Linked DNA regions of Cricetulus griseus. The protein of the gene in region 1 purifies or fractionates together with the protein of each later gene. This does not show direct contact. Links are inferred from orthologs where the notes say so. Each region holds a gene or a part of one and is shown on either strand. Other genes may lie near its edges. The genes, in order: Epc1 and histone H2A.Z.

Region 1 (3,813 bases):
GGAGATGATTGACCGTCTGGAAAAAGGCAGTGGTCAGCAGGTACAACTTCATTTCTGTATGTCTATTATAATAATGCCTATATTATGTGAAATCATGCAGTGTTGAGGAGGGATGAGCCAGCAGACTCCGGAACTGAAAGCATGAATTTACATCTCCTTGTGTTATCCTGTATCATTTTGAGCAGTATATTTGAGTTTTTTGTGCCTCCGTCACCCCAGCTGTATGTTGAGATAAAATAATAGACTGGAGGTGATGTGTTGATCACTTTTGATCCTACCACTTGGAAGGCAGAGACAGGTGGGTGGATCTCGGTGAGTTAAAGGTCAGCCAAGGCTACATGGTAAGACCCTGTCTCCAAAACAATAATAAACAAAAAAGTCTTCAACTGCCATTTGTGTATTTGGTGAGCAGGTAAAATATTACTAATATCAAGTCCTACCGTCAGGAAATACAGCAAACTGTATGCTCTGTGAAATTTGATCGTTGTAAAGATCGTTGAACGCACTAGGGCTGGAGATGGGGCTCAATTAGTACAATACCTGCCTAGCGTGCACATTGGGCTTGCTCCCCAGTCCCATGTAAACCAAGTGTGGTGATGTACACTCAGCACTTAGGAGGTGGTAGGAAGATCGGAAGTTCTAGGTCATCCTCACAAGTTCAAGACTAACCCTGTTTAAAACATTCTGTCAATACTATTGTTGGCTTGATTGTTGTTATTTAAATGAAGAATGGTTTTGAGTCCTTGTATATGTATTTTATGAAAGTGACATAATGGTTTTACATTTAGCCAGTCAGTCTGCAGGAAGCCAAACTACTACTAAAAGAAGATGATGAGTTAATTAGAGAAGTTTATGAATACTGGATTAAAAAGAGGAAAAACTGTCGAGGGCCATCACTTATCCCATCGGTAAAACAGGAAAAGCGAGACGGTTCTAGCACAAATGATCCTTACGTGGCTTTTAGAAGACGAACTGAAAAAATGCAAACTCGAAAAGTAAGTGAATTTTTACATTTTTAAGAAAAATTGTAGTTCTTAATTTTATGACTTAATCTGTGCTTTCATATAACAGTCCTTAAAATTATACTAGAGGGGTTGCCCAGTGGTTCAGAGCACTTATTTCTCTATCAGAGGACAGTGTTATGATTCTGGTACCCATATCAGACACCTGTGACTCCTGCTCCAAAGTATTCAGTGCCACTCCTTTCTGGCCACTGTATACACACACACACACACACACACACACACACACACACACACACACACACACACACAGAGAGAGAGAGGAGAGAGAGAGAGAGAGAGAGAGAGAGAGAGAGAGAGAGAGAGAGAGACCTTTTAATTACAATGGAAAATATTAAAATAAGTTGACCTTTAGTTTTTATGAGGGCCTTAATAGTACAAATTAATATATGTTCCCTTCCTGTGTCTTTAAACTGTAACCCTGCAAATGCATACATTCTTATCTGCACCTTGTTAGAATTGCTTCTTGAAGTTAAGCAAAACTTTATATTTTCAGAATCGCAAAAATGATGAAGCCTCATATGAAAAAATGCTTAAGCTGCGTCGGGATCTCAGCCGGGCTGTGACTATCCTGGAGATGATAAAGAGAAGGGAGAAGAGCAAACGGGAGCTACTGCACCTGACACTGGAAATTATGGAAAAGAGGTGACCCTTGTGCTTATATGCTAGGACTGCTGCCAGTCACAGCCTGTGTATTTCCTACTTATCTGTAATCACAGAAATAGTTTCTTTAGTAACAGACTGTGGTTGAACGTTGTGAAATGATATTCACAATTCTGTCTTATTTTCTCAAAGTGATTGGGCTCACTAAGAAATGTATCAGGTGTTTCTACTGAGAAATTCTTTTGTTCTTTTGAGTTCTTTCTGTGGCAGTTTGAGGCAGTGTGAAGGGGTTCATGTTGAATACTGGTTGTTTATTTGGGGTGTTTTGTAGGTTTGTGGGAGATTTTTAGTACTAGAGATGAAACCCAGGGCCTTGCACACTGTAGGCAAGCATGTTGCTAAGCACCAGATGTGCATAAATTTTAACACACTTGTTGAGGAAGAGAATGAAAGCTCCAGGTTCACACACACACACACACACACTTAAATTTCTTATGATTCTTTCAGGGAAAAAAATAGTTTTGTAGCACAGACAGCCCTAATTAGCGGAGGTCCCTTGACACTACTTGAGGCATCTCAGCCTTAGGATCTTGCCTCTCAGTCACTGTGTTCCAAGATAAGATTACAGGGCCCAGCACCAGATGATCCAGGTGTGGTGACTCACAACTGTAGGAAGTGGTAGAGACGAGAAGATCAAAAGTTCAAGGCAGAGACTTTAAAGGCTCCAAGGTTGAGCTCTGGCTGCTCTTCCAAAGGACCTGGGTTTGATTCCCAGCACCTTCATGACATCTCACTACCTTCTGTATGTAAGTTTAGTTCCCAAGGATCCAGCATCCTCTCTGGCCTCCCTGGGCAAGGTACACACATGGTACACAGACATGCATACAGGCAAACCACCCATCTGCATTCAGTGTCACACTGAGTACATAGCATGTTGGAAGCAGCCTAGGATACATGTCTCAGAAAAAAAGTAGCTCTTAAGTAGTTTATGCGCCCCGCCCCTCCACCAGCAATAGGCACATGAGGTGACTGGGGAGGTGGATGTTGAATTCTCAGTGTTTATGGAAGCATCTCATTGTATTCTACGTACAGCTTAAGTTTCCTCTCTCTCATTTCAGATATAATTTAGGTGACTACAGTGGAGAGATCATGTCTGAGGTCATGGCACAGAGACAGCCGGTGAAGCCTACGTACGCCATTCCCATCATCCCCATCACTAACAGCAGTCAGTTCAAACACCAGGAGGTCACGGATGGGAAGGAGTTCAAAGTTCATAAGGTGATTAGGGCTTGGTAACAGTAGCATCCAGTAAACAGGAGAAATAAGTAAATTCTACTGCAAGGTGGAAAGAAAACTAGCTTTTCCTGACAGTTTCATTCCTCCTTCTCTTACTGCCCCACAAGACCAGGAAAGGCCTTGTTCTGGGTCTGATAAAGGAGGGCTTTGCTAATAGGGGATATGAGATGCACTAAAATTTTAATGGGATTTTTTTCCCCTCGTTTTAATATTGAAGTCTGTGGTCCACCTGTCTGAAATGTGTGGCCTTACAGATCACTTCAGAAATCTTTGATTTTTATATTTCAGGATTTAACTCAGATTCTAATTACACAACATTGTTTTCTTTCTGTATGTTCCAGAAACATGAGCCATATATTTGGATCTGGTTTACCATTAAGACAGAGTAATTATGGCAGGGTGGTGGTGTCGCACATCTTTAATCCCAGCACTTGGGAGGCAGAGACAGGCAGATCTATTGAGTTTGATGCCAGCCTGGTCCACAGAGTGAGTTCCAGTACAGCCAGGCCTAAACAGAGAAACCCTGTCTCGGAAATGGGGGGTGGGGGGGAAGACAGAGTAATTAATGGAATATTCCTGTTATCTTGAGCATTTTTTAACTTTAATTTTCATTTAAATTTTTTTGTTGTTGGGCTGGAGAGATGGGTCAGCAATTAGAGCACACTGCTCTTACAGAGGACCTGGGTTTAGTTCCCAGCACCTATATCAGATGCTTTACAACTCTGTAGTTCCAATTCAGGTGACCTGATAATTATCTGGCCTTGAAGGCACCTACATGCATATACACACATACACACACTTTTTTAAAGTCTTTTAAGCGTATGTTTGTTTTGAACAGAGAAAATGTAGATTGTTAGGAAAAACTGAGAATGATCCTCTGAGCGTGGGAGGG
Region 2 (4,585 bases), on another chromosome or scaffold:
CTAGTGCTAGAATTAATGGTGTAAGGGTACCAGTGTGGGCTGCCACAGTTTTTGAAATAGAATCTGTGTTTAGTTTTGACAGGCTTTCCGTGTGTGATTCTCCTGATGCAGCCTACTAAGTGCTGGGATTGTAGATTCACAGTTTTTTTTTTTTAATTGTCATCATATGATGGCATCACTATAATTCTTTAGTTCCAATAAGCCATGGCATCAAAACTGCTGGGAGCCTCTCCTCTAGCCATTAATCTCCTGGCACCAGAGAGGGCCTCAAATTTCATAAAACATTTCAAACTGAAGCCCAAATATAGAGTTTATGCTTCAAAATTCTCTTCACATTACTATTCAATTACATAAAAAGTGTAATGTACCGTTGAGCTGGTGATGACTCCATGGGTAAAAGTGCTGTGTAAGCATGCTTGAGTTCCATCCCTGCAACCCATGTACAGGTGGAGAGAGGGAGAGCCCACTCCACAGGTTGTCATCTGATTTCCACAAAGTCTTCATGGCATGTGCACCTGCAACCACCCACACAATAATTTTTCTTATTTAAAGAGTTAAACATTAAGTACTGTAAATATGAAAGATTTAGATCATTATGGTCTCCAAGCAGCTAAGTGATGTACACAGGGATTGTCGACCTGCTAACTGCACGTCTAAGTGACTGGCATCAGGACAGGACCGTGTGTACGTACAGTCCTACTTTTTCTTTTTTAAGCCCGGCATTTGTAATTGATTACATGAACCATCTGTGGCTGCTTGTGAATCATGTTACAGTTACCCCACTGACATTTACCCAACATTTTTCATGTGGCAAAATGTTTAGTGTCGGAAAGCTGACACATAATAGCTTTGATGATTCAATAAATCAACTTTAGACACCAGGCTATAGGCGCATCCCCATTGATGTGGAGTCTCTCTCGGCAAAATTATGGCTGATGATTTCATTATAATAACGCTTCATCCTGAGCTTCCTGTGTGTAGACAAAATTATTTGTTATCACCAAGGTAACTTGACCCCCACGGTTGTTACGAGACAGGATGGGAGGGTGAGGGGGGCGGTCAAAAGAGGTGAGGACCGGAGCGGAGGAAGATGAAAAACAACCTCCGGCGGGGGTAAGAGACGGTCTCTCAGGGAAGTGCTTCAGCAAGTGCGGGCCGAGCCGAGCTCCTCTCACTGGAGGCCTTCGCGCCACCTGTCACAAAGGAGGGGCCCGCGGGGAACCGAGGTCTGCGGGGAGGGGGGGGGGACGGCCAGGCCGACCGGAGGACGCTGCGAGGCCCAGGCTGGACCGGGAGGCGAGCTCACGTGGTCTCCCGCACACCGCGGGAGGACGCCCGCGCGCCCGTCCCCAGCCTCTCAGCCCCGCCCTCCAGGCACGTGACCCCGCGTCCGCTCTCGCGCTCGCCCGCGCTCCCTCCTCGGTGGCGCAGGGCTCTGTGTCTGCCCTCCCGCCGCGGCGCCCTTCCCCTCCCGGTCCCGTCCCGCCGCCTCCCCCACTCTTCCCCCTCCCCACCCCTCGCGCGCCAATCACGGCTCGAGCTCGCGAGCGCCCGCCCCACCACCCTGCTTCGCGCCCTCCCATTGGCCGGAGCCTCAAGGACGCGTCCCGAAGGCGGGCGGCGACCATTGGTGGGCCGAGCCAGCCGAGTTCCCGGATGAGGGAACATTCTGCGGTATAAAGGGCGCGAGGAAGGCGGGAGACGGCGCAGTTTGAATCGCGGTACGACGGAGGAGTGGGCGCCGGGATCTCGCTGTGCGTCCGCCTGGCCTCGTCTCTTGCTCGCTTGTGCGATCTTCAGCACGGTCCGAGATGGTAACGTGAGAGTGACGGCGGGCCGCCGGGCGGGGGGCGGCGGCGGCCGCGAGCTGCGGGCTTGGAGCGGGCGGGGCCGCCGTCGCCGGGGCTTGGGCGAGGCGGCGGCGGCGGGCGGGAGCGTGCGGAGACGGGTCGGGGACGAGCGGAGGGAGGTGTTTGGTTGAGCTCGGAGCTCCGGGAGGGAGGCGACGGTTGGAGGGGGGCGCGCGCGGCGCAGCTGGGAGCCGGCGCGGGGCGCGCGCGGGGCGCGCGGCGGGGGTCGGCGGGCGGGCGGGGAGAGAGGGCGGGGGCGAGCGGCGGCCCGGAGACCCCGGCGGGCCGCGAGCGCGCGCCCGCCGCCCGCCCGCCCGCCTGCTCGCTCGCCCGCCTCCGGGACGCGCGGCCGTGGGGGAGGGGCGCGCCGCTCCGCGCCGCCTTGGTAATTCTATCCTCTCCGTCCCTCCCGGGCTCGCGGGCGTCGGCGGCGCCGCAGGCTGGCGGTAAGGCTGGAAAGGACTCCGGAAAGGCCAAGACAAAGGCGGTTTCCCGCTCGCAGAGAGCCGGCTTGCAGGTAGGCAGCTGCTGCCGCAGACGCAGCCCGGGTGACCCGGCCTTTATCTTTGCACCCCCTGGCTTGTTTGTCGGCGCCTCGCATGGGTGTTCCATCTTTTGCGTGGGTGATGTGTCGCGACTTGGCCTTCGGAGACTGAATGTTGGGGCGGCGGGGGCTGGTGGGGGGGGCGTCGATCGCGTGTGCTAACTGCCCGGGCGCCTTGGTGCACCACCGTCCTTGGCTTTGGCGCGCGCGCGCATCATCTTTCCATCTCTGAATCTCCTCTATCTTTGTGCATTTTTGTTTGTGTGCATAAAAAAAAATCAAGTTCCCTGTGGGCCGTATTCATCGACACCTGAAATCTAGGACAACCAGCCACGGCCGTGTGGGCGCGACCGCCGCTGTGTATAGCGCAGCCATCCTGGAGTACCTCACCGCAGAGGTAAGCGGGAGTGAGTATGCCTGTGATCTGGAAAAGGTTTGGGGGGCGGGGGGGGGAAAGTGGGCGAGAGGGAAGGAGGAAAGTGATGCAAGAAAACTCCCAGGCCCTAAGCGCGGCGCTTAGGCAGAGAGAGGGCGCTAGAGGGAGCTAGTGTTCAGCCAAGGATCCCGCTGAGCCAGAGTTTGCTGCTGTTGCAAAAGCAATTGCGTGCCCCTTCAGTCCTTTGCATCATTTGCATAGTTTTGTCATTCAGGTAGTGGGGGGATGACGACAGTTGGTGGGTTAAACACCACTGACGTTTAGCCAGCTTCCTGGATCTTGACTGAAGGGAATTGGAAAATTGATCAGAATTTTGCCTTTTAGGTACTAGAATTGGCAGGAAATGCATCAAAAGACTTAAAGGTAAAGCGTATTACCCCTCGTCACTTGCAACTTGCTATTCGCGGGGATGAAGAATTGGACTCTCTGATCAAGGCTACAATTGCTGGTGGTGGTATGTTATCACTGACACTCGGTTACTTTCCAATAAGAAAATTCCTACATTTTCATTGCTTCCAGAAGAGGGCATTTAAATATATTTTATAAATCATGGTGGTTTATGGAATTTGGTTTACACAACATCATTCATCATTTTACTTTATGTTTGAATTTTTTTTTAAGACCTTTCAAGTTGTAGATTTACCTGCTTTGATTTCATGTACTGTTTCAAAATGTTTCTACAAAAAGTAGAATTAATCCTTGTCACTTTCCTAGGTGTCATCCCACACATCCACAAATCTCTGATTGGAAAGAAAGGACAACAGAAGACTGTCTAAGGATGCCTGGATTCCTTATTATCTCAGGACTCTAAATATTCTTAACAGCTGTCCAGTGTCGGTGATTCCAGTGGACTGTATCTCTGTGAAAAACACAATTTTGCCTTTTTGTAATTCTATTTGAGCAAGTTGGAGGCTTAATTAGCCTTCCAGCCAACCAAATTTCTGCATTCGAGTCTTAACCATATTTAAGTGTTACTGTGGCTTCAAAGAAGCTATTGATTCTGAAGTAGTGGGTTTTGATTGAGTTGACTGTTTTTAAAAAACTGTTTGGATTTTAATTGTGATGCAGAAGTTATAGTAACAAACATTTGGTTTTGTACAGACATTATTTCCACTCTGGTGGATAAGCTCAATAAAGGTCATATCCCAAACTAGTTTTAAACTTGCTTGATGATTACTACTAGATCTCATTCAGCTCCCCTACCTTCTTTGCTTACTAATCAAACACTTCATCTGTAGACCAACAAGTCATAACCAATTTGTCATAATGAACTAGGCATGCTGTTGGACATTCACAGTAACTGTGAAAGGCACTGTATCACAATTTGGGACAGCTGGACCGGTAGAGACCCCCAGGTATAACATAATAACCTCCACAGAATGAACTTAAGATGTAGAAGTTAAATCATTCTCAGTGACCAGACACTGTTGTCAACTGTGAAATGCTAGTCACAGGGGATGCGTGCTATTTTCATAGACTAGGGTAACATGATGAAAACATTGATACATATCAGGCATGTTCCTTAAGAGCTTGAGAAAACGCATCTGCCCCTTTCACCCTACCGAGACAACATGCGTGCTCCTTTCTGAGGCAAAAATTGGTAACAGGAGGTGGTATGCATGCAACCTCTGCAGATGAGAGAACTGCTTCCTGCTCAAGAGTTACAGCTGACTAGCCAAAAGAGCTGTGTATATTGTACCTGCTGGGCAGCAGTGCCACTGAAAAGGGCAGGGCAGTGGGATGGGTGGGTGGTCC

What was found.
Region 2: the proteins of Epc1 (region 1) and histone H2A.Z purify together in Homo sapiens (affinity purification with mass spectrometry; 4 studies listed by BioGRID and IntAct, with this or other methods). This does not show direct contact. The link is inferred for Cricetulus griseus from reciprocal best matches to the Homo sapiens genes EPC1 and H2AZ1.

The regions. Positions count from the first base shown.
Region 1 is NC_048596.1:208,106,043-208,109,855, forward strand, and holds part of Epc1 (enhancer of polycomb homolog 1), read left to right. Parts: coding exon 1-40; intron 41-788; coding exon 789-995; intron 996-1,518; coding exon 1,519-1,667; intron 1,668-2,743; coding exon 2,744-2,903; intron 2,904-3,813. UniProt on the Homo sapiens protein: Component of the NuA4 histone acetyltransferase (HAT) complex, a multiprotein complex involved in transcriptional activation of select genes principally by acetylation of nucleosomal histones H4 and H2A.
Region 2 is NW_023276806.1:21,775,239-21,779,823, reverse strand, and holds histone H2A.Z, read left to right. Parts: upstream 1-1,657; 5' UTR 1,658-1,811; coding exon 1,812-1,814; intron 1,815-2,289; coding exon 2,290-2,367; intron 2,368-2,677; coding exon 2,678-2,791; intron 2,792-3,154; coding exon 3,155-3,284; intron 3,285-3,544; coding exon 3,545-3,606; 3' UTR 3,607-3,984; downstream 3,985-4,585. UniProt on the Homo sapiens protein: Variant histone H2A which replaces conventional H2A in a subset of nucleosomes. Nucleosomes wrap and compact DNA into chromatin, limiting DNA accessibility to the cellular machineries which require DNA as a template.